2 linked regions of the Astyanax mexicanus genome follow. Each later gene encodes a partner of the first gene's protein in a complex. Links are inferred from orthologs where the notes say so. Each region holds a gene or a part of one and is shown on either strand. Other genes may lie near its edges. The genes, in order: somatostatin receptor type 5 and sst7.

Region 1 (16,898 bases):
CCTGTGGGAACTCGTTTCAAAACACGCCATTCACTTCCTGCTTCTTACACATGCTTCATAAACCCACAAGCTGGGAAAACAACCTGTTTAGAAACCGCCTGACCATCTGATGATGACCTTGAGCCTTGAGAATTCTCTTCAAGGCTTTTCGTTTCATGCACAAGAATGATTGAAACATTAAAAAAAAACAATGTTCCCGCTAAGCCTAATGTATTCATTGTAAAAAAAAAAAACTGGGGTGTCGGATCATTTTTCTGGCCACGTCACGCGTCCTGAAGTACTCATGTATATAGTCTATAACGCGAGCGGCTGGTGGAGCAATGGAGACTTCAGAAGAGGAAACTCAGAGCTCAGTAGCTCCTGCATTCACTCACAGAAAAACCAAAGAAATGAAGGAATGAAGTTTCTGACTGAACATAACCTGGATTCAGATTCTTCTGCTCTAAAAGGAGACCGCATCACACCCGCCCAGTTTAAAATGATTCTTCTTTCGCATGTTCGGTGCAATTACCCATTCTCAACAGAGAGGGCCCTAAATCTCAAAACTTACGGATATCAGCTTTAAAGGTCACCTTCCGTCGTTTTTTCTTTCATTTTAAAATGTCTAGTTGTGGTCTCTAGTATGAATGAATGACATGTGAGCCGTTTTTGTAAAAAAAAAAATGCTCAGGTGTCTCTGTATAGCTCTTTTTTAATGGACTGTTTTAGGGGTGTGTCCAAAATGACCGGATTCCAGCTTTGCTCATGAATATTCATACATGCAAACAGCATGCAAATATCTCTCCTCTGATTGGCTAGGAGCACTGCGACGCCCCTCCACCGCTCTGCCGCTCACTGCCTCCCACCTCCTAACTGATGAGCGGTGATGTTGCGTCGCTTCAGCTCCGCCTCTGGGAGTTTCTCGGGCCAAGGTGGGCTGGTCTGTGAGTTTCTGCCTACGTAGGCAGAAAGATAATTCAAAATTCACCCGTTTTTCGGAGGGGGGGAGGGGGGATTTCTTTGCTTAGCTCCTGCAGACAATGGGGGCTGCAAAACAGTTTAATGTGCAGGTGTACACATTCAACTCAGAGAGACCTACTGTATTCCACAAAAAACAAGAAAAATCGGATTTTCGCGGAAGGTGAGCTTTAACAAATAAAATTCAGAATCTTCACTCCTTCGTTTCTTTGGTCTTTGGTTTTACTATGATTCAATGAGCTACTACGTAAAGACGCGACCCCAGTTTTTAGAATGAATATATTAGATATTAGGTTTAGCAGGATGGTGGTTTCAGCACACTGGTTCCATTAAACAAAATATTTTATCTATATTCTTCTCCACTCAGAAATGCTTCTGCTTTCAGTTTAGAAACTAAATAATACAGACTGCCACTTTAAAGTCAATGTAATCAATGCGATTTTCCAAACTTTTCCAACTTTTTCTGATTTAGAGTTGCATATAAAAATGTAGACAATTGACTCTTTAAACAGGGTGATTAAAATGTGATATTTGCATTAAGACGCATATAGAGTGACTGTTACTTCCTGTTTTCCTGGACTTTGTCATGAATGCTAAGATTATAACTGGTATGTGTTTAACTGGGTTTAACTTTGGTATCCGGGGTTGTTGCGGCGTTGCTAGGTGGTTACTATACTAAATTCTTACTTTGGTATACCAGGTGGTTGCTTTGGCATTGCTTGGTGGTTACTATACTACAATGGTGTTGCTAGGTGGTTGCTACACTAAATCCTTACTTTGATATGCCAGGTAGTTGTTGTGGCGTTGCTAGGTGGTTGCTACATTAAATGCTTACTTTGGTATGCCAGGTGGTTGCTTTGGCATTGCCAGGTGATTCTATGGATTAATTGACAGTTGCTGTGGTATCTCAGGTGGTTGCTTAGGTTGCCTAGTTGGTACCATCGAACACAATATTTTAACCTTTATGCACTCAGAAATTCTTCTGTTTTCAGTTTAGAAACACAATTATACGGACTGACACTTTAAAGTCAATGTAAGAAACACTATGATTTTTCAAACTTGCCCAGCTTTTTCTGATTTTGAGTTGCATATAAAAATATTGATAATTAACTCTTTAAACACATTAGTTAAAATATATATTTGCATTAAAACTCATATAGAGTGAGTGCTGTTTTCCTGGACTTTGTAATGAATGCTAAGGTTATAACTGGTGTGTGTTTAACTGACCCTCCCCCACTCTATCCACCGCCCCCCCCCCCTCCATAGAGCCAGCATGGAGCCACTCAAACTGCCAGGAAATTTATGCCCGACTGCTCGACGCGTCAAACCAAACTGTCTGCGTTAGCATGACCTTTACCATGTAGAGCTGCATCAGATAAAACACTCCACTCTAAATAAGGGCATGTAGCGGATTATGAGGACATGTACACACACCCCTAACACACACAACAACACACACACACACATAACAACACACACACTTCAACACACACCAACAAACATCATGCACATAGAAAACCCCTCAGGCGTTTGGTCACTGCTGGGACATCTGGTTTTACAACATGGTTTTAAACGAGTCCAGATGGAACATAAATATTATATAGCAGATGACCTGCAGCAATCTATCTACACTATATAACAAACAAGTATTGTCTCTAGTATTGTTTACTCCGGTTAGCATAGTATAGGTTGTTTCTACTGGATTTCTAGATTTGCGTTGCTGTGAGGATATGATTGCATTCGGCCACACGAGTGTGAATGAGGTCAATACTGATGGATGACTCCATGACTAATCCCAAAAGTACTAAAATGCTAAAATGACTGCTATGTGGTTGCTATGATGTTGCTAAGTGGTTGTTATGATGTTGCTAAGTGGATGTTATGGTGCTGTTAGGTAGTTAATATGATATACCTTGTGCTCACAATGGTGTTGCTCAATTGCTAGATGGGTGTAGTATAGTTCAGTACATCAGGTGGTTGTTGTGGTGTTGTTTGGTGGCTGCTACATAGGTATAGTACAGTACAGAACATCAGTTCAGTACATCAGGTGGTTGCTGTGGTGCTACTACCTAGGTACAGTGTAGTACAGTCCATCAGGTGGTTGCTGTGGTGTTGATAGGTGGCTGCTAGATAGGTATAATACAGTACATCAGTTCAGTAGATCAGTTGGTTGCTGTGGTGTTGCTAGGTGGCTGCTAGATAGGTATAGTACAGTACAGTACATCAGTTCAGTACATCAGGTGGTTGCTGTGGTGCTGCTACGTAGGTACAGTATAGTACAGTACATCAGGCAGGTGTTGCTTAGTGTTTGCTAGATGGTCTCTGTGGTGTACCAGAAGGTTTCAATGGTCTACATAGTACAGTATAGTAAAGTACAACAGGTGGATGCTGAGGTGTTGCCAGGTGGGTTACTACACTAAATGCTTACTTTCATATGCCAAGTGTTTGCTGTGGTTTTGCTAGGTGGTTCCTACACTAAATGCTTACTTTGGCATGTGAGGTGGTTGCTGTGGTGTTGCTCAGTGGTTACTACACTAAATGCTTACTTTGGTATGCCAGGTGGTTGCTAGGTGGTTACTACACTAAATGCTTACTTTGATATCCAAGGTGGTTGCTGTGGTGTTGCTAAGTGGTTACTACACTAAATGCTTACTTTGCTTTGTCAGGTGGTTGCTGCGGTGTTGCTAGATGGGTACAGTTTAGTAGAGTTCAACAAGTGGTTGCTGTGGTGTTGCTCCATGGCTGCAATAGTATACCAGGTGATTATGATGCTGCTGCTAGAATGGTGTTGACGGGGGATTCTATGGATTAATTGGCAGTTGCTGTGGTATCTCAGGTGGTTGTTCAGGTTGCCAAGTTGTACTCTTTTCATTATATTGGCACATAAGAATAGTACACAATTGTTATGTCCATTAATGTTTATGGGCAAATAGAATTTTTGTGTAAAAGTTTTGCAACAATAAAAATGATATTAAATCGGATGCTAATTTATGCAATAGAATAAAATCAGTTAATTTCATTCTGGCCCTGATGTGTGCTGCATGTTCATGTATAACATTACACACGTATAACTGTACACTATACACACACACACATATATATACACACACACACACATATATATATGTATATATGCACCCATACACACATTATAAATCATCCTGCGGTCTGTGGATGCTGTGTTACCTGGCTGCTCTGCACGTGTCCGTTAAACTCGTGGTTTCTCGGGGGCAGGAAGGAGTCGTGGGTGGTGATTTTCTCGGTCCGCGGGACGCTGGGGTCTCCGTCCTCCACGCCGTTGGTCTTGCGGAAACACAGGACCTTCCTGAAGCTCTGCTTGAAGTTGTCGCACAGGAAGCCGTAGAGGACGGGGTTGGCGCAGCTGTTGGCGTAGGACAGGATGACGACGGTGAAGTAGATGCCCACCATCAGGCTGTTCTCCGGCAGGATGACGATGACGTTGACGATGTTGATGATGTAGAACGGCAGCCAGCAGAGAACGAACACCACCACGATCACCACCACCATACGCGTCACCTTCCTCTCCGACCGCCGCCGCTTAGTGAATCCGGCACGAGCACCTGCTGACTTCACCTTCAATCAATCAAAAAATGAATGAATCAATCGATTCATCAATTTGTTTAACTTGTACTTAAAAAAGCTAAAAGTTTGTAGAACCTCTAGGTTACCACAATAACCTACAGGCTCCTCCAAGAACTCAAAGCTTTTTACACAGTTTTTTCAGTCTGAATCTATGAAGGAGCGAATAACGATTTCTGTACCTGAATCCAAATATAATAGCCTACATTTCTTGTACGAGCCATATTTCGAGATCTTTAAAGAACCTGATGTTGTACTGAGGTATCGCTAAAGTGCTTACAGGCACTCATCCTGGAGGTTCCTCAATGGACTTCTCATTCTTTGCATTGAAATAATAACTACTTTCGCTCAATGAAAAAGCTTTCATATTCTTTAAAACATCTTTTTCACAATGAAGAACCTCCAAAAAAGCTCTGTTCGAATTTTTTTATGTGAAAAAACAAAACAAAAAAACAAATATGTAGAAAAGTCTCAACTCGGGCAGAGTTAGTTAGCCCTGGTGTGGTGAGGTGATTTCTGCTGCGGCTGCGAGGCTTTTCCAAAATCAGTGGAAAAAACATACTCTTTGCTGGAGTAACTTTCTCTTTTGTCCAGAGAAGGCTTTCTACTAGATTTTCTAATCCCTAGAAGTACTGGATGGAGTACTGGATTTAATTTCAACTCGGTTTTAAAAATGTTACATAAAGTAAATAAGTGAACTGAACTTCAGTCAATCCTTTCTTTTAGTAAACTTTATTTTTCCTAAATCAATCCTTTTTTAAAGTATCTGAAATTAAATTTACTTAAAAAAAGTCAATTTTACTTAAATTTTTTTCAACAGGCATGATGTTAAGAGGTTGGAGACTCACCTTGACGATGATGAGCAGATAGCACATGCAGATCACCAGCAGGGGGGCGAAGAAGCCGAGGATGGCGGTGTAGAGGATGAAGGCCATGGACCAGACGTCCCGCGGCTCCGGCCAGCTCAGGTTGCAGGAGAAGAACGTGTCCTGCACGTCGGAGAAGATGACAACGGGAAGAATGACCACGAACGAGATGGCCCACACCGCGGCACTCACCACTTTGGCCACCCGCGGCCGTCGCCACCTGGTGGAGCGTATGGGGTGCACCACGGCCAGGTAGCGGTCGATGCTCATGACCGTGAGGCAGAAGATGCTGGTGAACTGGTTCAGAGAGTCCGCCGTCATGAGGACGCGGCACAGGAAGGAGCCGAACGGCCAATAGGAGAGCACGTTCTGCGTGGTGAGGAACGGAAGGCCCAGGATGTAGAGTTCGTCGGCCACGGCCAGGTTCAGGATGTAGATGTTGGTGACCGTCTTCATCTTGGCGTAGCGCAGGACCACGTAGATGGCCAGCGTGTTTCCGACGAGTCCCACGATAAAAACGGTCAGCGAGATGATGGCCGTCAGCATGGTGCTGCTGCCCTGGAACGGCATGCTGTAGTCCGAAGAGTTATAGGAAGAGTTTCCCAGGAGAGCCGGCGCCCTCGAAAACGCCGTCGCCTCCAGAATCCCTGACGAGTTCAAGGACCCCAGGAGGGGCCCCTCCCATTCCGATACAGCCCCTGGCTCCATTCCTGATCCAGGGAGGGGAAGAAAGGAGAGGCAGAAGAGGCAGATGGAGAGGAGAAGAAAAAAAAAGAAAGAACGAGGGAGCGACGAAATCGCGCAGAGAAGCGACACGTCAGTGGGTCTCGGACGCCCACGGGGCTGTTGTCAGAGTTTGGATGCTGGGATGCTGTGAAAAGAGAGAAAGATAGAGATAGAAAGAGAGAGAGAGAGAGAGAGTACGACAGAAGGAATCAGAGAGAGGGAGAGAAGGAGAGAGATTGTGAGTTGAGAATGAGAAAACTCCCACTGCACAGATTGTACCTGATTTCAATGCAGTGTTAGTCAGGGTTGTGATTCAGCGGAGGTGGCTCTGTTCTGGCCGCTCTATGCTCTATATCTGATGATCTGAGTGTGTGTGTGTGTGTGTGTGTGTGTGTGTGTGTGTGTGTGTGTGTGTGTCTTTAGCGCACTCATCTCAGAGACCCCATGTGGTGTCCAGAAAGTGGGATGCATATAAAACTATAACTAAGGTGTGGTCGTTGGTCATAAAAAACAACTTTAAAGGAGAACTCCTGTGTTAAATTTACTTTTAGTTTAGTAAATCATGATAAAAAGTTCTTATCTTTGATGAATAGCACACCTCCGTTCTCCCACAGTGTTCAGAGATCCAGAAATTTTAACAGTTTGTCCAACAAACACCCTTCAGACTGGGTGATATGGAGCATAATTTACCCTGATAAATCACTTTTTCCACCGTTATCCAGCTCAAAGTAGCTCCACACCTCCTTACTAGAATCCAGAGAGACCTGACTTTTAAAACGAGGCATTAATAACTAAAAAGTGCACAAGAAGCTTATTAAAAAACACAGTTTACATCCCATAACGCTCTAGCTTTCAGCTCCGAGCGCCGCCATCACTGTACTGATAATGACATAGACATATATATACATATATACACATAGACTACGCATAGCAAAGATGTAGTATTTTGTTATATGTTATATTATGAAAATCGGGTATAAGTTGAGATTTGTAGAGTTGTGATTATTATAATATATTATGTATTAAACACCTTCCTCACTGTAAAAAAAAAAAAAGCACTGGTCACCAGCTGCTATGACAGGAGGCAGGCTATGCAGAGTCTATGTATATATGTATATATATGTCTATGACATTATCAGTACAGTGATGGCGGCGCTCGGAGCTGAAGCTAGTAGCGTTATAGGATGTAAACAGTGAGTTTTAATAAGCTTCTTGTGCAATTTTTTAGTTGTTAATGCCTCGTTTTAAATGTCAGGGCTCTCCAGATTCTAGTAAGGAGGTGTGGAGCTACTTTGAGCTGGATAAGCACAAAATTACTGTATTTCAGGTGTGCTATTCATCAAAGGAAAGAACTTTTTACTATGTTTTACTACAGCAAAAGTCCATTTTACACCAGAGTTCTCCCTTTTTAAGGTTTAATTGAATTAAAGTAGTTCCTTTAAATAACATTAAATAACATTGACAAAAGTATTGGATCATCTGCTTATATCAAGGGTATTAAAATAAGTTTATCCTGCTTTTTTTGTCGGAGTAACTGCCTCTACTGTCCAGAGAAGACTACTTTCTACTAGACTTTAAAGCAGCATTGCAGTGAGGATTTGTATTCTGAATTTATTGTATTTACTGCAGTGTTATATTTTATGGTTTTAAACTTTTGCACTTTATGTTTGTCTATCTTCTTGTTGTTTAACCATGTTGCATCATGGTTACAGAGGAACGTAATTTCGATACACGGTGTTCCTGTTCTCAGATATAATGACAATAAAAGCCTCTTGACTTCATTTGACTTGATTGCATTTATTAACGAGCATCATCGTCGATTAGGTCAGGATGTTACAGGATGCTGATGATCCCACCTCAACCAAACTCATCCCATTCTAAAGTATTGTATGGAGCTCCATCATCATTACAGAGAACACAGTTCCTCCACTGATCCACAGCTCAATACTGGGGGGCTTTATGTTCGTCCATAGCCCTCACCTGACATTAGACATGGTTCCAATATATATATATATATATATATTTGTTTATCTGCTCAAAAGAGTCACTACAGATGCTAGAATTCATTAGAATGAGTGTCCACAAACAGTCCATTATATAGCACCAATATAGTGTGTGTACATAAAAACATATATACACCAACAAAAGCCCAAAGCCAAAACACTTAAGACCAGCTAATATGCCTATGCTGTTTGTCGTACATATATATATATATATATATATATATATATATATATATATCAATGCAACTCCAGACCACTCTGTAACTCGTTTAATCCTTGCACTCAGCACTAGTGGGGGGGTCAGGATGATGGATGACCATCCAAAAAGTATTGCAAAACATGTAGGGTATGTCCAAGCCACATACAAACACAGCTCTGGTCAAAAAATAAGAGACCATCTAAAAATGATGGGTTTCTTTGATTTTACCAAATTAAAAACCTCTGGAATATAATCAAGAGGAAGATGGATGATCCAAAGCCATCAAACCAAACTGAACTGCTTGAATTTTTGCACCAGGAGTAAAGCAGCATAAAGTGTACAAGAAATAAGTTTTCATCCTTTTTTCCAATTTTAGTTTTTTCATCTCTGCCCCTCGCAATCAGAATTTCAAGATTTCTTCCCATTTTCCATTTTTGCATACCATCAGATTTGTGTCACGAGATATAAAAATGGATTCTTGCCTCAATTTTCAGATTTTTCCATGTTTGTATCTTGTAACACACATCTGATGGTGTAATCCAACTTACAAATGCAAAAATTCAAAAATCTGGAAAAAAAATAAATATTTTTTTTCTGATTGTGAGGGGCAGAGATGAAAAAAAATAAAAATTGAAAAATGGATAAAAACTTTTTCTTGTAAACTAAACTACATTTAAAAAATCTGTTTTTACATCCTTTTTTCCATTTTTGCATTTAGCCTCAAACAATTAGAAAAATAAATTAATAAATGTTACTCTGACCCCCCAATTTTTTTATTATCTATTTTTTTCCGCTATTGGCAAACAGAATTTCAAGAGAAAATAAAGTTGAATCTTCTCTTGATTTTTTAGATTTGTGTTAAAAGACAGAAAAATAAACAAATCTGAAATCTGGCAAAGCTTGCAAAATGCAAAAAATGATTAATTCATTCATTGATTAATTAATCATTTTTCCTGACATTCCGATTGTAAGGGGCAGAGAGGAAAAAACTAAAATTGGAAAAATGGATAAAAACATTTCTTGTACACTAAACTACATTAAAATAAATGAAATTATGCGTTTTTACATCCAATTTTCTAATTTTGCATTTAGCCCCAAACGGTCAGAAAATCAAATAGAAAAAAGTTACACTGACCTTTTACATTTTCATTGGCTGACATGAATAATAGATAATTAATAATTTGGATAAAAATCCATTTCTTCTTCACTCTGCTGAAAATTAAACTTCTAAACGCTACACTGAGCAACAACACACAGCAGTAAGAGCTTATTATATTATAATAATGCAGCCTCTGTGTGTGTGTGTGTGTGTGTGTGTGTGTGTGTGTGTGTTATTATTATTGAATATAATAAGTTTTAAAGAGATTTAAAGCTCTTATATCTGCACTAGTGACAGTGCACTAGTATGTAAAGTGTGTGTGAAGTGTGTGTAAAGTGTGTGTGTATGAGATGAGCTGCTACTTGCCTGGTTTGTGATCCTCAGATGTTCTCAGGATTTATAATAATAATAAAATTAAAAATATCTCCTCAGATTAAAAGAATAACACCAAAAACACCAATAGCAGACTGTAGGAACGAGAGTCTCCCCATTATGAGCGCGCGCGGCAGCAGCTCGGAGCGCGAGACCCGGGCAGAGCGCATCTCTGAGCGCGAGCGGAGCGGCGGAGATCTGTAATCCAGACAGTGTGATCTGATCTGATCTGATCTGATCTGCTCCGGGCTGTTCAGAGATCAGACCTGTAGAGCTGCATTCTCCCAGTCACTACTGCTGCTGCTCACTACTGCTGCTCACTACTGCTCCTTCTGCTGCTGCTGCTCAAACTTACTGCAGCTCAGCACTGAGATACACCCCCTACACACACACACACACACACCAGCAGCAGCAGGAGAAAAAAAAACACAAAACACACACTCACACACACACCAGCAGCAGGAGAAAAAAAAAACACAAAACAAACACTCACACACACACCAGCAGCAGGAGAAAAAAAAAACACAAAACACACACACACACACACACACACTGCACAAAACCCACGTTAATGAGCACCTTACAGAGGTTAATTATAAATACACCTGAATGAACCCGACCAGCACGACCAGCAAGGTTGAATGAAGGTCCTCACACAGGGCTTAATGATCACACACTGCCTGCAATCATAAACCCGGGAGCCCATAAATTACCAGCACCAATCAATACCGCTCACTCACAGCTTCTAATCTCATTAATTCATTCATTAAATAAATAAATAAATAAATAAAGCATTAGCAAAAAACGAAACAAAAAAACACTGGTTTATGAAGCTCGTTACAGGAAACATGCTGTTGGATTAGCTTTAAGGATTAGAGTTGCATCCAAACTTTTTTTATTTTTAATAATATTTGTATGTAAAATGCAATTTGTCTGATCTTTAACTACTTTTGGTGTAAAATGGACTTTTAGTTTAGTAAAACATGATTAAAAAGTACTTTCCTTTGATGAATAGCTCACCTCCGCTCTCCTGCAGCTTTCTGAGATCCAAAAATTTAGCCTTACATTTAAATCGAGGCATTAATAACTTAAAAAAAGTGCACAAGAACGTTATTAAAAACCTCTGTTTACATCCCAAAACGCTAAAGCTTTACTGATGAAGACATAGACATATATATAGATAGACTCTGCATAGCCTGCCTTCTAGCGTAGCAGCCAGCGCCAACCCTGCAGACATGTAACACTATTAGACATTATCCTGTTGTAAAATATTTGTCATTGTCAAGTCATGACCACAACTCAACCTGAAATTAATGTCTTTTAATGTTGGTGGCCAGCTGGGAAGAGGCAGGCTATGTGGAGTCTATGTATATATATGTCTACGTCATTATTAGTTAATGCCTCGTTTTAAATGTTATGGCTACAACTACGAAACTAGCATCTATTTTTTTAATTAGTTGAGAAAACTATAATAAAAATACACCATATATTTTGCTAAATCAGCTAAAAAGCGTTAAGTGTTGGGTTAGCATCTACAGAATTGGACTTTTATTGCCAATAAGTGAACAATATTTAAATCTGTCAATTAATTTAATTATGCTGTTAAATTAGAGTGTAAAAAACGCTTTAACTGAATTAGCTGTAGCTAAAGTGTTGGGTTAGCATCAAAACGCTGGGTTGTTGAACTAAATTTGCCCGCTAGTGTTGGATTAGCATCATCATTGGGCGGTATGGTGGATTAGTGATTAGTGGTTAGCACATTTGCCTACCAGTCTTGGGTTCAAATCCCTGTCCTGAGTTTCCATGTTCTCTCTGTATCAGCATATCTCGAATTTATCAAACAGTCCAAAAACATGGAGATCAGGTAAATTGGTAAATTAACTAACTTCTGTTACAGTGTAGTTAATGCAGTGCTCCAGGTGGACGGTGGTTTCCGGTTGAGAGTATGCTGTCTCTGCTCTGTGCTGAGTGTAAATGGTTGTGTGTGTAAAATGTGATTGTAAGAAAGGCACTTTATAAGTGTAATTTCATTGGTCTTTCATAAAACAGCAAAAAGAGTTTATTTAATCATCTTAAAAAAAAAAACTAAATTAGCATCTAAAAAATTTATTTAGCATCTATTCTAAAGTGTAGAATGAAAGAATGCAAAATAGTTATGTTGCCTTTGCCTCTGCACCCTAGTGAACAAAATATATACTTAATTGTACTTAAAACATATTGAGAAATGTATGATGTAAATATACTAACAGATTTATGTACTTACTTAAAATATATTAAAAGTACATTAATATTATGCTTTGAAAGTAAAATTTGATCATATTTTTAAAAAAGTACAATATAGTCTACTTTTCAATAAATAGACTACTATGAAGTGCACTTTTAGTTTAATGTAATTCAATGTAATTCTAAAATATATATTTACAAATATACTTTTGTACACTTTTAGCAAAGTGTGTTAAAAACAACTACAGTTACAGTAGTTCACTTAAAGTACAATGTATCATGTAACTTTTTAGAAAGTAAATTAAATTACTACTACTAATTAAAAAAATGTAAAATTGTAACACACTAAAACTTGTAGTACATTATATTAAAATATATTTTTATACCCAATAAAGTAAACTAGACTAGAAGTGTGCTTCTTACAAAAGACAGGAACAAGAAGCATAGTTGTATATTTGTACTCAAATGTAAATATAGATCACATATATTTAACATATATCAATTCTTAGTGCATTTCTAATATATCTGGTGTATAATAAATAGTGATACAGTTGTGCTACTCATTATTAAATATATTATAAAATATATAATTATATTATAATTATATATTATAAATATATATGTATGTTTAAATGTTACTTAAGTAAATTTAAAATAGTTCAATTTCAGTACAGTTAAGTAGACTTTTTAAGTAATTTAAGTAAGAATGTTGTACTATTTTTATACTGTAATTAAAGTATAATAAGTATTTTAAAAAGTTGTTCCATTTTAGCGCTCTTTAAATATACTGATTAATAATAATGAGGCTACAAGAACACTTTAGTGCACTATAGTATAGAAATGCTTAGTATAATTTAATCTATTTTTTTACACTAGAGCACTACAGTTTCTTCAGCTGTTTCACTCAGTAGTGCAGAGGTGACACGTGCTGGATTATTATCACTATTATTACTGGTGTTAGTTAGTTCAGAACAGTTGCTCACGCGCTCACTGTGAACGCCGAGTGTGTGACGCACGAGCAGCTTTCAGAAATGAGATGAAGAGTAGAGGTATGAAGAAGAATGAGAGCATGCTTCTAGATTACGCAAGACACACGCAGTATTTCACACAGATAGTGTGTGTGTGTGTATGTGTGTGTGAGAGCAGTAGGGTGTGAAATCATCAGGGTAAGTCTGAAGTTGTTAGAGAAGCTCCAGACAGACAGCAGGACCGCTGGACTGCCTCTGATTTGTTTGTTTAGACAGTAAGAGTTTCCTCTTCGTTCCAGATCCAGATTCTTTGATCTGACGGTGTGAACAGGATCAGAGTGAACAACTCTCTGATTTATCTCATCATTTCTTTGGAACTTTCTCACAAAAAAATTGTGCTAATGATACAAATATACGCCCAATACCCAACTGTGTACAATATGGAGCACCATAGCAACCACACGACAACACCCGAGCAACCACCAAGCAACCCCAACACAACAGCAACCAATTGGTATTCTAAATCAACGACTTACGAACATCACAGAAAAAAAAAACAATCACTTAGCAACAACACCATAGCAACCACTGAGTGACACCATAGCAATCTCTAAGCATCACAATACACAACATCAACCACATGGGATACCATATCAATGACTTACGAACATCACAGAAAAAAATAACAATCACTTAGCAACAACACCATAGCAACCACCTGTAGTACCATGGCAACCACTGAGTGACACCATAGCAATGTCTAAGCATCACAATACACAACATCAACTACATGGGATACCATATCAACGACTTACGAACATCACAGAAAAAAATAACAATCACTTAGCAACAACACCATAGCAACCACTCAGTGACACCATAGCAATCTCTAAGCATCACAATACACAACATTAACCACATGGGATATTATACCAACGACTTATGAACACCACAGGAAAAAAAATAATCACTTAGCAACAACACCATAGCAACCACTGAATGGCACCATAGCAATCACTGAGTGACACCATCACAATCTGTAAAAGCATCACAATATACAACATCAACCACATGGGATGCAATACCAACGACTTATGAACACCACTGGAAAAAAAATTATCACTTAGCAACAACACCACAGCAACCACCTGTGATACCATGGCAACCACTGAGTGACACCATCGCAATCTCTAAGCATCACAATACACAACACCAACCACGTGGGATACTATACCAACGACTTATGAATACCACAGGAAAAAAATATCACTTAGCAACATTTTAGCATTATTTTATATTTATATTTTATATTTATGTTTAGCTGTGTGTGATAGTAATATTCCATTGTTGCTGTTAAAACTAATATTTTTTCAGTTCAACATGTATGCAAAATATAATATTTATTATTATATTGATTATTTTTTAATATTTGTTTTTTGTTTTATTACATTCAATGAAATCACATTTCACTATTAAAATTATTTAATATTTACATATGCAATCTTTATTAAGAGCAAATCAGGCTGTACTTTAAAGCTTAATATGCTTGTCAAAGTTATGATCTCTAGAATTTGGAGTTATGTTTATTGATCTCTCGTTTTATTTTTGTATGTGGAGCTCTATCCAGAAGCTGTGATTGGCTGGGCAGTATCCGGCATGTGCTGAAAGTGAGCGTTGTGATTGGCTCAGTTCATCGGTAGTCAACATCCTATCTAAAAGGGATCAGCTGTTCCATTTCCCCAATTACAGCTCCTTCCCTCCATTCCTCCTCCTCCTCTCCTCTCCTCCATTCCTCCACCTTCTTCCGGGGTAGGAGAGGAGGAGTAGGAGAGGAGGAGTAGGAGAGGAGGAGTAGCAAAAGTTTCTGGACGCAGCCCCTGTTTTTAGCTAAAGGACTTTTATTGTGAAAAACAAAACTGACAGGAAGTGGTGGTGGTGGCCATTTTTTTGGAGGATTACCAATGAGGGGAAAAGTTTGCTGCACTTGCTCTTAATCTGTAAGAAAACAGATCCTTCAAGTTTATTTTTTACTCCTGTTAATGAGTCTGGATTATTTGTGTAGCTGTGGAGTGGAGAGGTAAGACCAAGGCTTTTTTTTATTTTACTGGGACAAGCTTTTTTGGAACTGGTCTAATTTTTATGGATTTTGGATTCTTGGGTCTGGGATTATCTTAATTGGCATTGTTTGGACTCTGATTGGGCTTCTGGTGGGAGAATTAATATACTGACCTCTGGAAAAAAAATAACAGACCACCCTTTTAGACCTGAATTATGCACCACTGTAAAATCATAATAACTAATAATAATAATAATAATAATAATAATAATAATAATAATAATAATAATAATAATGTTGTTTTTGTTTGCAATGCACACAAAGGAATATACTAAAGTATGATTAAAAAAATATACCAACCTTAAATCCAGTTACATTAACTTTTTTTTATTTATTTTAATATTGGATTGGAAGCCTGAGCTTAACATTTTTTGATTATATTGATATTGATCTTTTTGTTCACAAGTCATCCCTAAATACTAAAATAAACATAAAGTGTTCTAAATTACATAAAAGTTGTGAAAATAAGATGGTTTACTTTGCTTCTTTGGTTTTAGTGGTGTTTTTTGTTTTCCAGTACAGTGGCTAAGCTAAGCTATTGTTTCATTGGCTTATAAACATTTCCTTTGGCTCATTTATAGTCTATTCTGATTAACAGCAGTGTGTTTATTATTAGTATATAATGTGCAACAAAATATTTGAAAAAAAAAAGAAAATACATGATGTCTATTGTAATGGACACAGGGTCTGAAATGGTAAAAGAAATTATGAGCTTCTTTGACCAAATTTTACCAAATTGAAAAGCTCTGGAATATAATCAATGGTTAGCAGCTAAAGCTAATGCTAATGTCAATGCTGCTCCAGCAGTGCTAGTTGGGGTTGGCACCAGGCTACAGTCTGATATACTGGCCTCTTAACGGCGAAAGAGCACTTGGTGTGGTTAGCTCCTAATGCTAATACTCCTGTATAACTCTGCATTTTAGCAGAGAGGCTGTGGACTGACGATTTTTTGAGAAAATTTTAAGATTTTAAGTGTCTTATAGTGCGAAAAATACAGTATACACAATAACTTGCATACACTGTAAACATTTATTGGAATATAAGTATATTAAGAGTTTTATATAAGTGTTATACTGAGTAAATAAACATGTACCGAACAGAGCAGGAGTTTTTGATTGTGATAATCTCTACAGCGCACTACAGCGTTTGTATATTCTCTTGACATTACGTTTCTGCTTCTGTGCACCATTATACTTATATATATATATATATATATATATATATATATATATATATATGTATATATGTATATGTATATGTATGTATATATATATATATATATATGTATATATATATATATATATATATATATATATATATATATATATATATATATATATGTATATATATATATATATATATATATATTTTTTTTTTTTTTTTTTTTTTTTTTTTAAGCATTGACCCATTGGGCTCATATGGAGACACTATTCGTACCATCTAGTGGTCACATGTCATTACATTAAATTGATTATAAAAAAGAAAAAAAGATGATGAGAATCCCAGTCAAAAGTTTCTACAGCCAGTCCAGTTAGAAGAAACATAGGCTTGGTGAAAATTTGCATTAAATTTTATGTTTAAAACTAGTTTATTTACTTAGTGTAGAAAGCTAAAATTTAGTTTTTGGACAAATTGGGTCCTTCTGATCACAAATGTTAAGGATTAGGCCGGTCACGATTAGAATTTTTCGTGGACGATATATTGTCACAGAAATTATTGCGATAAACGATATTTTTTTGTAATTGTAAGACTATTAAATGCCACTGACA
Region 2 (16,704 bases), on another chromosome or scaffold:
TAGAGCATTTAATTGCAGAAAATGAGAAATAGCTAAAACAACAAAAAGGATGCAGAACTTTTAGACCTCAAATAATAGTTCACTAATCAATAATTGGTGGAATAACCCTGGTTTTTAATCACAGTTTTCATGCATCTTGGCATGTTCTCCTCCACCAGTCTTACACACTGCTTTTGGATAACTTTATGCCTTTACTCCTGGTTCTTGTGGTCAACTATATATATATATATATATATATATATATATATATATATATATATATATATATATATATATATATATACCAATTTTAATCAATTACTCTTAACTGTGAATTTGAGGAATGTCAACTTACATAGACAAGTTATTTTGAATGCACACACTTGACCATTTGATTTGATTCCGTTGATTGATTGATTTTGTGAGAGGTCAGGTTCTGACGTTGGATTATTAGTTCTGGATCACAAACTCCATTCCAACTCCCAATTTAAGGTGCAGGGTGATCTTAGGTTTATTTAGTGTATGTCCTGATATTTGTGAACTAAACACATGGAGCAGTGGGACTGTGTAATCAAATCCTCACAGCAATTCTCCTTGGAGACAGTGGAGGCACTTTTTTAATACCTTTAATTTCAGCAGAACCAATGATTGAGCAGGTAGGTGTCCCAATATTTTTGTCCATGTATGTGGCTGCTGCAGAGTGTGTTGTTCTTTTGGTAAAGCTTTGTATGTAGATTATTCCCAGCTGTGTGTGTGTGTGTGTGTGTGTTTGTGCACAACTAAATATGTTTGTTAACTCCCTATTACATCTGTTTTAATACACTTGGACATAATTAGATTTAATATTATACTGTTATTATTTTACTATGCAATTTTTTGTCAATAATAGTAATCTGAAAGCTTCAGTAATTTAATGTCAGTCATTGAAGGTTAATGACTGTGTAATAAAAAGGTGAGTGCCAGAGAAAAAGGATCAAACGCTGCACTTTCTGGAATCCAGAGAGAAATCTGAGTGTGTCTGGGCGATGCTGTGAGGTAGAGAGTGAGCAGCAGACTGGACGCTTTATTAGCTTCAGGTGAGCAGCTGGTTTGTGGTCATTAATTCTCTAGGCGTTGTCTCCACACACTGAAGCTTACAAAGTTGAGTCTTTTTGCAATACTATTCAGAAGAAAGATAAAGTTTTACAGGAACAATAAATGATTAACAATTTATATAGGAAACTCTTGGTCACATTTAATAAACTACAGATACAGAAGTAGTGTGTGACACGTGTGTAAAGCTGCAATATGCCAGACATTCCACATGGTGTTGTAGAGGTTCCTAATGGTGTTCTGTGACAGCACATCCTGTGCAGACTTTGCATTAGAAGAGGATTGTTGTTGGGGGATCCGAGTGGTCCAACGGTCTAAGTGCTGCCGCTATGATCAGGAGACTGCCGGTTCGAATCCTGTTCATGTAGCCTGTCATCAGCAGCCGGAGCCCTGAGAGAGCACACTTGGTCTTGCTCTCCCTGAGTGGATAGATGGCACTCTCTGCCCACATCACTCTAAAAGGGTGATGTCACTCGGCACAAGGCGTCTGTGGGCTAATGTATTGAAATCGAGTCGCTGTGCTTTCCTCCGAGTGCACTGTGATGCTACTCGGCGTGCAAAAAGTGAGGGTCATTGGCCGTGTAAATTAGGGAGAAAATGTGGAAAAAAAAGAAGATTTGTTTGTAGTGCTTCAAACAGCATCCCACACATTTTCAACCAGGGATAGTTCTGGGGACTCAGCTGACATAGTGACATAGTATCCATGTCTTTAAGGCAAACTCCTGAGATAGCACCAGTGTGCGGATGAGCATTGTCCTGTTGAAACAGGTAAGAGAAGGTAGGGTCACTGGTTGCAGAACCTCATGAACCGAATGTTGGCTTGTTAAAGTGCTTGTAATGAAGACCAATCCTCAAATCATGACAGCAAGACTTTTGAATGCTTGATGTGACAGCAAACCTTTGATCTTAGTGCAGACCATGGTGCCTCCAAACATCGATTTTTGGTCGTCTTTACCTAAACAAAGGCAGGACTCATCACTGAAGAGCATTCATTTCCATTCTGAGTCACTCTGTGATAGTCTGGCATGGCTACTGAATCATTTTCATTCCTGTTAGATTATTCCTTTTGAGTACATCATTTTTTTTGAGAATGAGTCTATCAGCAATGTAATTATGATGTGATTGATGACAGATGAATCACAAATGAAGATATCAGAAGAATTCTTTACTCTGACAAACACAGGATCAATTTCCTTTCAGAGGAGTGTTTATGTCATCACTCCAAAAAAAGCTCAGAAAGAATATTACTTACTCAACCTGTCATATAATTGGCCAACAACTAATAAAACACGACAGGTTCCAGTTTTATTTTATTTATATTATACTATTCTTTAGGGCTTTTTGGCCTGTATTGAAATCTGAGCTATAAGGAAAAGTTTAAAAAAAAACAATACACAAAAAAAAACTTTTATATACTGTTAAAATATAATTATTTAAATAAAAATTCTATTTTTTTTTTGCAGTTATTAACTGTATTTGACAGTAGTAATGCTATGTAAAATGGCAGAGTATATGGATACATCATTTATTTAAAAAGTCTATTTGGAGTCTATTTAGTCAGTAATTCATCCAGATTTTGGAGTATTGCTGTGAGGATTTGATTGTATTTAGCCACAAGTGGGCTTTCATTAGGGGGCCATTCTCTGAGCAGTTATTTGAGGAGTTCTCACCCAGTCAGCTACTGTAGCTTGGCATTTAACTATAACAAGTCTATAAGTCTAGACTGTGATGTAACAGTTTTGGGGTTTTGGAATTGGCTCGTTTTACAGCTCTGCTTTAAAGACTTTTTTCTTGAGGTCATATGGCACATAAAATACTGTACAATTTATTTGGAAAAGCTTTAAAAACATTGTAAGAATATCCTTTTGGCCAAGGTAAAATATTATTAACCAACAACTAATAAAACCAACTGGTTCTTCCAGTTTTAAGCTATTCAATTATATAAGATTTTAGGGATTTTGGTCTGTAGTGAAATCCTTGTCTGTGCTATAAAGAAACGTTTAAAATAACTATCCACAAAGAAGCTTTACTTTTATATAATGTTTAAATATGAATGTAAAAAAATAATTTCCTTTATTTTCTTACAGTTATTAATTGTATTTGACCATGATATATTAGCATAACAATAGTAATGCTATGTAAAATCACAGAGCATTTGGAAAAGGCTTGTTTTACAGCTCTGCTTTACAGACCTTTTTTCTTAACGTCATATGGCACAAATGAAAAAAACACTGTTAATTACATTCTTGACAATGTAATTTGATGTTTGAATTTAAAACCTTGTAAGAATTGTACTTTTACAATTTTATCGATTACTGTTATTTTTTGGCTTGTATGTTTGCTTCAAAGTTTGTACATAGTTGAATCTTCATATTATTTAATTATTAAATGTAATTGTCATGCTTTCACTCAAATCTACTCTGCATGATCATTTAGAGAACCTTTTATTGGAAGGACCCGTTGATGTGTTTTCTGGAACAGACCCTTTTACGAATCTTTAGCGTTTAGAGTGTAAGCTGAGTTATTGATCATTAAAGACACAATACTGCCAGATTTCTTCTGAACACATGATTACAGGGCTGCTTTCAGTACATCCAGGAGAAAACAGGCATTCCTGACAGCATTAGAATTCACACTGATGAGTCATTTGTCTGAAGGCTCTCGGTGATTTGGGCTGTATGGAGGAATGTCATGCCTCGGCTCAGCTCCTCGCTACACCTATTATATTTCACGCCGTTGCGTAAGGAAAGACGTAAGAGTGTGAACCGTGTGAGTTAGAGGGTCCGGACATTACAGACCTGCTGCTGCTTAACATGTTTACTCTGAGAACTGAGTGAATCCACTGCATCCACCGCCTGTTATTCAGCTGTACAGTGTAGGAAATGTGTTCTGTGTTCTCCTCTCAGCTGCTGCTTCTTATATAAAGCACTGAACATGTTCAGCAATAGCAGCAGATTACAGTGTTTAAATTCTCAATGATGGCAAGTTTCAGCACTCAGCGCTCAGAACACGGTTATCACCCCGGTGTTGCTGAACAAAGCTTGTGAATGACTGAAGCCTGGATTCACTGATTGAATAAAAGCTGCAGGTGTGAAAATGCTGTTATTCCACAATGGAGAGTGCATATTTAGATCATGCCATTGAGAGACACTGCCGTCTCAGCAGCTCTGAGCGCATCTGCTGAACAGGTGTGAACAAGAAAGGACACAACCAGTCCCTTGTATGCAATCTAATGCAATCCACAGGGGGTCTTCCACACGGGGTCTAAAATGCATATAGTAAAATTGTATATGTGTATTTTGCAATTGCAGAATTTAGGATACGAATATATAAAATGTCATTATATTACTATAAAAAATAATAAATTTAAAATATATATTAAAACATTGCAATTTTATTAATAGTATTATTATTACTTTTATTAATAATATGCATTTGTTTGGGGAGAATGTTGACTTTGTGGATAGCTTGTTCTCTTCTCAGCACTGAGGTCTTTGGTTCAAGTCCCTATATGAGTGATGTTTCCATGTTATTCCTGAATATATATATATATATATATATATATATATATATATATATATATATATATATATATATATATATATATATGTGTGTGTGTGTGTGTGTGTGTGTGAGATTTTACTTTTATATAGTATAAAGTATATAAGTAAATTGTTTGCTTGTTTGTAATGCTTACATTGAGTGTTTGTATGCATGTTTGAATTTGTATATATATATATATGTCTGTGAATTCATGTATGTCTTTGAGGATTGGCACTCTGTCTTGGTGAATCAGATTTCAATACAGTCATACAGATATCTGATTGAAAGTACATTGTGTGGAACTGGCTGCTACTTCTTGTCGTTTAGTGTAAAGGATTGTATAGAGTGTTAAGTGTAAATCATCCCTGGATTCTAGAAAGTTGCCAAATTTTGTCCATTAGTAAACTATAAAACAATAGGCTTATATGTCATTATTTTAAAGGCAGAAATAAATCTGTAAAAAATACATAAAACAAAAAGTATATATATTTTAAAAAGGTATATAGGTGAGCTTGTCGTAAAAAAAGGCTTATTATATAAAATATAAAATTAATACAAAATAGACCTCTCATCAATCTCTCAACATGAAGAAAAACAGCAGAACAGAGTCTTTGATCGGTTATACGTTTATTTCTCCATTGGGATAAAACAGTTGACTGCTTTTTTCTTTTCTGTCCCGAGGGTTGACCACAGAGAATGAGACATCCCTTATCAAAAAGCAAATTGCTTCACCATGCTTTATTGGTCTGAGATGTTCAGAAACGAGAAACAAGAAAATAATTAAACAAATAAATAAATACATATTAAATCATTCTGTCAATAAATAGATAAATATAATCATCAGTATCTTTAACAAACTGGCTGCATCAGTCCACAAGTCCACGGCGACCCTTTCTCTCGACGGCGGTGTTGGTGATGGTAACTACAGTGAAAGTGCACACAGTTCATAGTTTCGGGGGGTTTGGTGGAGAAGAAGAAGAAGAAGAAGAAGGTGGGAGGTGGAGAGGTGGGCGTTCGGATGGAGGAACCCGGTCGGAGGCTGGCAGGCTGGCACTGTTAGCAGGAGGTGAAGGTTTTCCAGAAGAAGTTTTTACAGGGGGCTTTGCGGTCTCTCTGGGGCAGCTGTGATAACCGGTTGTAGACGGCTCTCTCCTCCAGTCGTGACTCCAGGGGCTCCTCTGCCTCCATGGGGACCAGATCCCCGCCCAGCACGCTGTTGTCCACTCCATCCAGGAGACCGGACACGAGCTTCAGGATCAGCTCCTTACGTTCTTTACTCAGCTCCTGAGGAGAGCAAAGGCGGTTACACTCTCAAACAGAGCTCAAACTGTTCCTAGAAAGACATTATTCATAATTAATTCATAATTAAAATTAGCCTCAAAATAGAGCCCTGGGGGACTCCACGGTGTACGATAAGCAAAAAAGGTTATATGTTAAAAAAAAATAATAATTCAAAATAGTTTATGTTTTAGGAATAAAAACTAAGGAATACATCTAGGGTTCATAGAAGAAACCTGGATACTTCTATTGTGGAGGATGTAAATGATGTTCTTTAAACTAAAATCTATCTTTAGTCTATAAAAGAACCCCTTTTAACACCTTAACATTTAACTGCATAGTTATAGTTTGAAATAATGCACTAAAGTTAACTCATTAATGCCAGTTTAATCAATTAGTGACTGAATTTCAAATAGATTAAGTCATTATTTAGAGTAATTCTGACACTGTGGCTCTAAATCTTTTTTGAAGAGTGTGTATAATAATTTTAAAATAAATAAAAATCCTATTAAAAGATAAATAAAAATATTGCCAAAATTTATGGATTAAAAATAAATCAATTTTAGACAAAATGTCTAATAATTTTTTTTCATACACTAACATGCCAGAAGTCATGGGATAGCAGTACGTAAACTGAAAAAAATGGGCATAATTACAAACATACATGAAATATACCAACACAAAATAGGTAAAAAGCATTGAAATGATATATTTCACAGATTTTTTCTGAGAAATAATGCACACACACAAAGTAAGTTAAGTGCACCAGTCCACTGTCCAGTGCTGAAAGGAGGGCAGTAGGTGAAGTGGGCTCTGGACTCACCCTGGTGTGCGCTGGGCTCCTCTCCTCCACTGGAAGCACGGCCGCTGCCCTCACACTGTACAGCACCAGCAGCAGAGACACTAAGCTGGCCAAAATCTGCATCCTGACTACACCAGTGAAGAGCAGAGGATGAGAAAGAAGAGAGAAAGAGAAAGAAAGAGAAGTAAAGCCAGAGAAAGCTGAGCGTGACGGAGCAGCAGACCCGTAGAGCCGGTGTGAGAGTGTGTGCAGAGTGGGAGTTTAGGAGGTGCTGAAGCTGCTGCTGCTGCTGCTGCTGCTGATGCTGCTGATGATGCTGCTGCTGCTGCTGGTCTCAGCTCAAGTGTCTTGGGCTTTGGGATTGAGGTGGCCGCCTCTTATATACCCTGGGCTGGCGGTCTCGGCTTGACGCAGGGGTTGGTGGATGATGGAGGGTTGGGTGAGAGGGAGGGAGTGAGGTGGGGTGGGGGGCAGGGGGGAGTAGGAGGCTTAAGGACTAACAAAAGCACAGAGTAGTTAACCTCCTAACAAACCAGCCATTTCACTGGAGCTGAGGAGCACGCGCCTCCATGCTCACGTCAAACGGCTAAAAATGGTCCTGACATCAGTCACAGCAAAAAAAATTCCAAAGTAGAATATGTGCCGACAAAAAATACCAGATATTCTGATACTTAAATTTATTAATAATGTCTTAAATGCACGTTTAAATCTGGAAATGTCTCATTTAACTCAATTTAACTCAATTCAGTTCTGCGTAGGAAACATCCGTCACGGTCAAAACACCCTGGGTCTCTAAACGGGTAACTTTACAGGAAAAGGAAGAAGATACTCAACTTTCAACGGAAGTCAATGTTAAATCAAATTAATAACAAGTCATAAGCCTTAAAAGGGCAGTTTATGCTTTCAAATTATGTGCAAAAAATGGAAAATGATTGAAAAATAGATACTAATTGAATACATATTCAAAATTACTTTTCAGAAGTTATGCAACAAACTATATAAATAGTACATGATTAATATAGATAAATAAATAAATAAATAAAGAATTAAATAATGAAATTAATTAACCAGTAACCACACTGCAATATAAATGTTTGCATCTCCAATGGAACATGGAATGTTTAAAAAAAGCACTTCTATGCTTTTGGCGTAATTAATAAAACAGATTCTGTCAGATTCAGTGAAGATTCAGTATGTCCTTTTTCTTTAAACATAATTTGACTCTAAAATAATCTGAATAAGTTGATCAAAAGAAATTCTCAATAGAGATGTTTTACTTCCACTGAAAGTGGAAAATTACAATTTTGGAGAATCACAAGTTATAATTGAAGTTACTACTCCGTTCATTTCATAATGTATTGTATTAGCTAATTACACCTTTTTTCATACACACACATGCCTTAAATGATGGGATATTAGTATGTAAATTGATAAAGAAGTGTTACCTCAGGGGTTAACTCAGTTGTGTGGTATGGTCTTGTGAGTGAAGTTAAACACGGGCCAGTGTGCTCATGGCAAGGTGATGTGAATGATCAGAGCTGGAGTGAGGCCTCGATCCATAGTGTCACATGTGTACAAGGAATACGTCACAGAAGGCAATAAATACCACTCACAGTGTGCAGTGCAGTGGGTGGAAATGATTGTGACCGGCGGAGTCTGGTTAGAATTGTTAGAAACTAGAAGAAATCCACATTCACATCCACATTTAATACAGGAGGACTCACATACATACTGAACATCCCACAGTGCAGTGTTCTTTAGATTCCAGAAGTTGTCTGGAAAATATTAAGAAACCACTTCAGTTTCTGAATCAGTTTTTCTGATTTTGCTATTTATAGGTTTATATTTGAGTAAAATGAACATTGTTGTTTTATTCTAAAAACTACAGACAACATTTCTCCCAAATCCCAAATAAAAATATTGTCATTTAGAGCATTTATTTGCAGAAAATGAAAAATTGCTGAAATAACAAAAAAGATGTAGAGCTTTCAGACTTTCTCAAATAATGCAAAGAAAACAAGTTCATATTCATAAAGTTTTGAATTCTATTTTTAATACAATTACATGCACCAGTCTTACACACTGCTTTTGGATAACTCCTGGTGCAAAAATTCAAGCAGTTCAGTTTGGTTTGATGGCTTGTGATCATTCATCTTCCTCTTGATTATATTCCAGATGTTTTTAATTTGGTAAAATCAGAGAAACTCATCATTTTTAAGTGGTTACTTTTTTTTTTCCAGAGCTGTATTTATATACATATATTAATATATAGATTGTGTGTGTTGTATTGATCATAGCCAGACAAGCAGATTTAAATAGGATATTACTCAAAGAACCCATATTGTAATAACTGATAATAAGTATTATTTGTAGTCTCTGATAACAGCTAATACACTATTCCAATATTTACTGGATGCTACTAAAACTCTACTCTCACTTGTGTTTTACAGCACAGCGTGTGCTCACACCATCCTGCACACACTTCTCATTTCCACACTCTTCATCCCTCCTCATACGATTCTAATCTCACAGTCGGGCTCACAGATAGATCGAACTGTCTGACACCTAAAATGACCAGGGGAAGTTTTTTTATGGTTTTGATGAGATGATAGACGCTGACACTGCACGTGTCCTCCTGCAGAAACCAACTCACTTTAGAGAGAAAGATTTTATTGTCTTTAACATTTGAAACAATTACTATACTATACTTTACAATAATATACTATACAATTACTATAATCCTAAGATTATGAACAAATATTCAAGATAATAAATTGATTTCAGTGCTCCCTGAATAAACAATAAAAATAGAAAAATAACAATATTAATGCTGCTGCAGCATCAGGGTCAGGTGTAGACATTTACTGTGCATTATTATACTTTAGAATACTTTAGAAAACTTTAGAATAAATATTAATTAAATTAAGCTAAACTGTAGGCTTATTATTTAAATGGAAGTCATAGTCCTAGAAACCTGGTGTTAGAAATTCGGCTTTCAGGAATCAGGAGTCAGAATCAGGAATCAGGAGACAGCTTGAGAGATGACTTGAGTTTATTCTCGTGCAGACAGAAAATCTACACGGGCACAGCTTAGTTGGTCGTTGCTCCCTCTGTGTCCGCCTGACTAGTCCATGTGACTTGTCTGTCTGTTACTGTCTGTGTGAGACTCTCTGACCGAGACTCAGCTAGACTGAGCTTGACTGAACTGAGTGAGACTCAACTAGACTGAGCTACTAAGACATTTTAGCAGGACTTTACATACAGGAGAAACTGCTTTGAACACAGCAGGGGGAGAAAGGGTAAGGGTTTATGGAGGAGTATGTGGGGGGTGTCATCATTGGGGGTGTCTCTATCAACATATGTTAAACAAAGGAGAGATGTGAGAGATAAGGGTGAGGGGCAAAAGGTTAGGAGTGTATAGGGAAAAAAGGGGGGTTAAGGAGTGAGACAGTTTAGAACCTAAGAAAACTTAATAAAAGTACAAATTGTTGTTGACAGAATCTCTCACTGGTTTGACAAAATTCTTAAGATTGGTTTTTTAAAAGAAATTATATGAATCTAAACATCTAAATGTTACGAATGAGCAGGGGTGGACGTAAGTGCGAATATTTTATTTAAACAAACAAGATAAAATAAAACAGTAAACAAAACACGGGTAACGCAAACAACTACAAAAAAACAAGGCAAGGAGAATATAAAACTAAAACAAAGACTAAGAAACACAGACTAATAAACTAAGACTAGGATACATACGGACAGCAAGGATACAGAGGATACAAAAGACTCGACACTGAACATTCAAACAGAGGGGCTTAAATACAAGAGGAGAGTGAGAAACACCTGGGCTAGGATGACAAGGGGGCGGGGTTATAGACAAGACACAGGTGAGAAAACTAATAGCTAGGGCGGGGCTGGGGCAGAGCTAGGGTGGAGACACTTGACAGGAAAACAGAGGGACAGGAGCACAAGAGACCAAATAAGGGAGAAACAGAAGACAGACATGGGCTAAGGTGTTACACTAAAAGTGACATTTTCTTAAAGTGCAATGTAAAATGATACCTTTATTAACCTTTTTATTTTTTACAGCAAGTTAGTTGGTATATAGTTATTACATTTTACAGCACAAAAAGTTGACAATAAAGATTGTAAGATTTCAGCATATTACTATATAATAAGAATAGTAATGTATTGAAAATTACAAAGTATTACAGCTTTGGCATAAATAAATACATTATAAAACTTTAATTATTCTTTACAATACCCATATATAATTTCAGGGCCTTTTTTTTGGAAATGTGAAAGTAAAAAATAGGTTGGTTATCAACCAGCATGAAGTCACTCTTTGTAGTAAAGAAAATGGTAGCTTGCACTTATGGCCTACAACCCTTCTGCCAGGCAATCAACTATTATATAAAATATAAATTGATGCCAATGAGAAAGTAGCCCTGGTAGGCAAGAGTACACAGTGATGGTGAGTTAAAGTTGGGGGACACACCCATAATGCAACTAAAGGATTTCAGGAGCCAATAGGAAATTAACTTTTGAATTACATAATACAGCAATAAAAACCCTATTACAGCACTAAAAACCCTACTACCTCACTGGACTCTATTGCACACTGTGTAATAGAGGTAATTACTACCTCACTGGTCTTTTTTGCACACTTTTTGCACACTGCATAATTTGCACACTGTCTTGTTATTTATTATTCTTTGTCTGTATTGTGTTGTATTGTCTGTCTGCACTTTTGTACTGTTGCACTATTGTTCTGTCTACACTGTGTTTATGTGCACCATGGTCCTTGGAGGAACGTTGTTTCGTTTCACTGTGTACTCTGTATATAGCTGAAATGACAATAAAAACCACTTTGACTTTGACTTGACTTTGATACGAAATGTTACTTTTTTTGTCTGTTGTTTATAGAATAAAACAACAATGTTCATTTTACTCAAACATAAACCTATAAATAGCAAAATCAGAGAAACTGATTCAGAAACTGAAGTGCTCTCTTATTTTTTCCAGAGCTGTATGGTATTTTTTTTACAGTCTATAATAAGGTAAAGTTTAGGACGTTTCTGTATATGGTAAATTTGATTTGTTTTTGCCTGGTGTTTAGTCTCACAACACAGCAGTAATGTCTTGGGAAACTTCTTCAATCTAACCACCTGTTTATTCCTCAAAAGGTACAGTTAAATATACAGGATGCAGCTGTTTTCATAGTCTGTCCCAAGAACATAGTGTATGAAAAAATAAATACAGCAATTTGTTGCTTTAATATACAGTAATAAAGTAAACTGAAACATTTGATGTGTGTGTGTGTGTGTGTGTGTGTGCTCTCCAGTGATCTCCAGATGACATAACACTGTAATTCAGGTCATCCTCCTGGCTGCACACGTGTTAGTTGATGGACACCTCTTTGGAGATGCACGTACACGCCCGGGCCGAGTTCAGGGACCTGAGAGCTGATATTAGAGGTTTTTATTCGTTTTTCACAGCAGTCTGACACGGCCAGGATTCGGGCCCCCTGGCTCTGCTGAGATTAATGCAGGGCTGAGATGATCTGGCCCCTGAGCGCAATCTTGATACACTGCGTTTGAAGAATTCATGCCAATTGACCACCGCTAAACAAATATATATATATATAGTAAGCAGCACCAACACGGAAAAAACACCAGCGGCATCAGTTCTGCCCACTCTAGTAAGTTCTACAGTCTGTGTTGGACTTTCTGGACTGAGTCATATTGCCTCATATTTACCTTCTCAGCTACAGAACATCTTTAATGCACAGCTCTATGAGACACACAGAACATTTAAGAGCAGAGTTAGTACCATATGTTTACTGGCATGATTGTTCATTAGACTAATTAGCAAAAGCTTTAAAAAAACTTCAAATGGCAACAAGATATGTGAAGTATCCTTCCAACATAAAGACAAGAAATATATACTTACAATGATGACTGAGGCACATTAATTCACATCTAAAATAGATAAGAGAACATGAAAACATAAAAATGGAACTGAAGAGAAAAGAAGAGGGGGAAATTGAAATTAAGAAAAGAGAAGAGAAAATAAGATAAAAATTATTAATCTGAAACTTTGCAGGTGAGAAATTAAGAAAATACAAAGAACAAGAGATAAAAAAGAAGATACAATAAGCTAATAAAAAAGAAAATAGCTCTAAATAAAAGAAAATAAGAAATTAGAATAAAAGAAAATGTGGAGAAGATAGGGAAGAAGGGAAGAGAAAGGAAGAGATGTTAAGAAAAGAGACAACAATAAAAAAATAAGAAAACAGAGAAAAGAAAAGATAGAAGAAGAGAAAGTTATAAGTTAAAAGAAAACTACTGAAAATAAAAGAAGAGATATAGAAAGAAACACTAATAAAAGACAAGAGAATACAAGTGGAAAGACAAAAAGAAATGAGAAAGGAAGGGATTAAATGAAAAGAGAGGAGAAACAATATGTACATTTTAAAGTTTTAAAATAGTACCATTCACTCTGTAGTCTGTCAGTCTATATTTAAAATTCATACAGTATAGAGAATTTCATCTCTAATTCCTCTGTGCATTTAGCTACATGCCGAGTTTAAATAAGCGATGACAGTGACACTGCAGTGTCTGTTTTAATTCAGTGGAGCATGTGCACGATTCTGAAGCTGCTATTTTAAGGTGAAATTTTCCCAATTTTACTTTGATGGAACCAAAAAGTGGTGGTTCTTTTTTGGCATAGCCTATTATTCTAAAAAACTATTTGTTAGGGCTTTATTTTTAAGATTAAACATCCTTAATAATACATAAAGCACCAGAGGCTGAACCCCTCACCTTTTATTGGAACTTAACACAAATATTTCTGTGACATTTTTATCAATGTTTTAATTTTCCAGGTGTTTCTGAGAGATAAACGAGTCTCTGAATTTCCAGGCTTTTCTATGATTTTACTTCATCTTACAGATATCTGATACTGAATTTAAATCTCCTCTAGGTAATAGGTCATTATTGTGCATTACATGTACAGGATGTTAGGTTCCTCACAACTGCACTGATCTTCAAAGTAATATCAGTAAACATATTTGCAATGCTCCTGGTGCCATCTTGTGGTTACTGTTGCTACTAACAACCTAAGAAACAAAATGAATAAAAAGTGTTAACAGTTACATACTAACAGCATTGACTTTTTTAGGCAATAACGTATACTATTCTATGTTATAAACAGATTGAACATTTTAGAAAAATATGAATAGAAAATGAATTAGTGATAGAAATAGACTCATTAAATACATATTCTCCAATTGGTGATAAGTAGAACATCAATTTAGAACATGCTATCAGTATTTGATGTTTTTTAATGGCATATTAAACTAAATAAACAAAAATACAGTAATATACCTGACACATCTAGAAAACACATGAACCAAAGTGCTGCCAATTACACAGCAATCATATATACAGTTCTGGATAAAAAAAATAAGAGACCACTTAAAAATCACGTGTTTCTTTGATTTTACCAAATTAAAAACCTCTGGAATATAATCAAGAGGAAGATGGATGATCACAAGTCATCAAACCAAGCTGAACTGCTTGAATTTTGCACCAGGAGTGGCATAAAGTTAACCAAAAGCAGTGTGTAAGACTGGTGGAGGAGAACATGCTAAGGTGCTTGAAATCTGTGATAAAAAAAAAAACAGGGTTATTTCACCAAATATTGATTTCTGTACTTTTAAATCTTTATCAATATGAACGTTTTCTTTGCATTATTTATTATATTTATTCATATAGTCGTATATATTTAAAGACTGGGTCATAAAAGAAAAAATACATGAATTCTTTTCATTATTGCCCTAAACAAAGAAATAAAATAAAAAAACTAAAATATTACAGTTTTTTTAATGATAATGTCAAAGGGTTAAAATGAAGTGTTTTTGTTTCTATAATTAAAGAGAAAGAGGGGAGATATTTGTTATATATTTTATTATTTTAAAGGAACACATGGATTTTGTGAATTTAACATGATTTATTAAACACTCGATGCTGAAAGAATAGGGATGTCCACTCTTCTGGCAACACACTGGGTTACATGACTGGTACAAGAGAACGGGCTGAGGACATGCCTTCTATAATAGAGAGCATAAAACAGTTTAAAATACAGTAAACAGTGAATTCACCTGGAGGAGCGCCTTCATTTGACTGAGTGTAGCGTTTAAAACCATTCACAATCACTCTGATCACAGAAGTGATTTCTCACACTTATTCTGCTTAAGCTGCAGGCCACGGGAAAGACACACCACATGACATTCTACAGGAAATCAAGATCTAAACCCAGCAGACTGCGAACAAAATGAATTTGTGATGGAAACAGTTTAAAAACCCGTTAAATAACAAACCATACAGCACTTAATTCACTTAATAAAGTGTTTCATACAAAATACCTTCTAAAACCTCTATGCATGTCAGCCTCATGTGGCGGTCAGAACTTATAACTAAAAATGAGAAAATAATAATAATAATCAAATCAACAAAACAGAGCAACTTCCTTATACATACACTCTTAGAAACAAAGGGGCTTTAAATGGTTCTTAAGTTGATGCCACAGAATAGTCAATTTTGGCTCTGTAAAGAGTCATGTTTGTATAAGAGATGAGTGTGTGTGTTTAAAAAACAGACAAAATGGATAAGGTACCTTTAAATTAAGTGTAGTTTCTTTAGACCTTTAAATAAAAAAAATGTTCTTTAAGATCATATTCATGTCTACTACAAACTTAAGGCCTTATTCACCATCACCTGCTTAATAAACACACTCTTCTCAAATATTATATATAAAAAATGTCATCCGCCTGGGTGTGGGCAATAGGGTAAAATTATTCCATAAAGAAATGTTCAATATACACAGTATTTCTCATGATGTTTTAAACCAGAATTCATAATTACTTGCAGATACAGTATCATTATACAGGTTTTAAACTCACTGATAATATCTCGCAATATACTCAGAGCTAATCAAAGCTAATCAAACAGGACAATAACAAAATTAATCAAGATACGATAAAAAGGGCATCCTATTGCCCAGATCTACATCCACTAATGTTTTCAAACTAGGGATTTGAACAGTTTGATTTTGAAGAACAAATTTAAGAACGTTTTTTTAGGTATTTTCCCCATTTTAGACAGCCAATAACCCAACACACTCATTAGGACTCCCCCAATCACTAGTGATGCCCAAACAACAGGAAGGTGAAGACAAGCACATGCCTTCTCCAATACATATTAAGTCAACCACCACCTCTTTTCGAGTTGCTGCTGATGCAGCATTGCAGAGTAGAATCACAGTGCACTCGGAGGAAAGCACAGCGACTCGGTTCTGATACATCAGCTCACAGATGCAGCCTTGTGCTGATCAACATCACCTTCTAGAGTGATGTGGGCAAAGAGCGTCATCTACCCACCCAGAGAGAACAAGGCCAATTGTGCTCTTTCAGGGCTTCGGTAGCTGATGGCAAGCTACATGAACAGGATTTGAAACCGGCGATCTCCTGATAAAAGTGGCAGCGCTTAGCTAAGCCGGACGACTCGGAGCCCCTAAATTTTCAATATTGATGCAAGTCTCAGTAAAAAGTTTCAGCCTTATTGGAGAAGTCTTTGATAGTCTACTCTGATTGGTGTGCTGTTCTGGCTCAGATTTAAAATGTTTTATCTGAATGAAGTTGGGAATCACTGTATAATGAAAGAACCATTTAAAGCATCTCTTATTTTCACTCTTCAACGAGCACAACAGCTTTCTTTAAACAGGGAGAGTCGAGGGTCATTCTGAAGTAATTAGAAATATTCAGAATTTGTTATTTAAACTTGGTTACTTTGCCTTAGTTATTAAGTGTTTTAACTACAATTAATATTTTCCTCTTTGTTAAAGCTGTACTATCGATTAATTGGCCAACAGTCTGCCATCTCTGTGATTACTGTGTACATAATGATGTACATAAACATAGCATTCCTCTTGACCTGAGTGTCTTTACACAG

Evidence for each region.
Region 2: the proteins of somatostatin receptor type 5 (region 1) and sst7 are in contact, whole or in part, in a cryo-EM structure (PDB 8X8L), measured with the Homo sapiens proteins. The link is inferred for Astyanax mexicanus from reciprocal best matches to the Homo sapiens genes SSTR5 and CORT. Residues at the interface, in NP_001044.1 of Homo sapiens: Tyr89, Leu96, Gln99, Asn100, Ser103, Asp119, Gln123, Glu182, Thr185, Cys186, Asn187, Ala188, Trp190, Gly198, Phe201, Ile202, Thr205, Phe264, Phe265, Asn268, Asn271, Glu279, Ala283, Tyr286, Phe287, Val290, Tyr294; in NP_001293.3 of Homo sapiens: Cys93, Arg94, Phe96, Phe97, Trp98, Lys99, Thr100, Phe101, Ser102, Ser103.

The regions. Positions count from the first base shown.
Region 1 is NC_064428.1:35,177,650-35,194,547, reverse strand, and holds the start of somatostatin receptor type 5, read right to left. Parts: upstream 6,292-16,898; 5' UTR 6,132-6,291; coding exon 5,406-6,131; intron 4,552-5,405; coding exon 4,144-4,551; intron 1-4,143.
Region 2 is NC_064420.1:41,467,607-41,484,310, forward strand, and holds sst7 (cortistatin), read right to left. Parts: upstream 7,046-16,704; 5' UTR 6,818-7,045; coding exon 6,716-6,817; intron 5,899-6,715; coding exon 5,671-5,898; 3' UTR 5,225-5,670; downstream 1-5,224. UniProt on the Homo sapiens protein: Binds to all human somatostatin receptor (SSTR) subtypes. It also inhibits cAMP production induced by forskolin through SSTRs.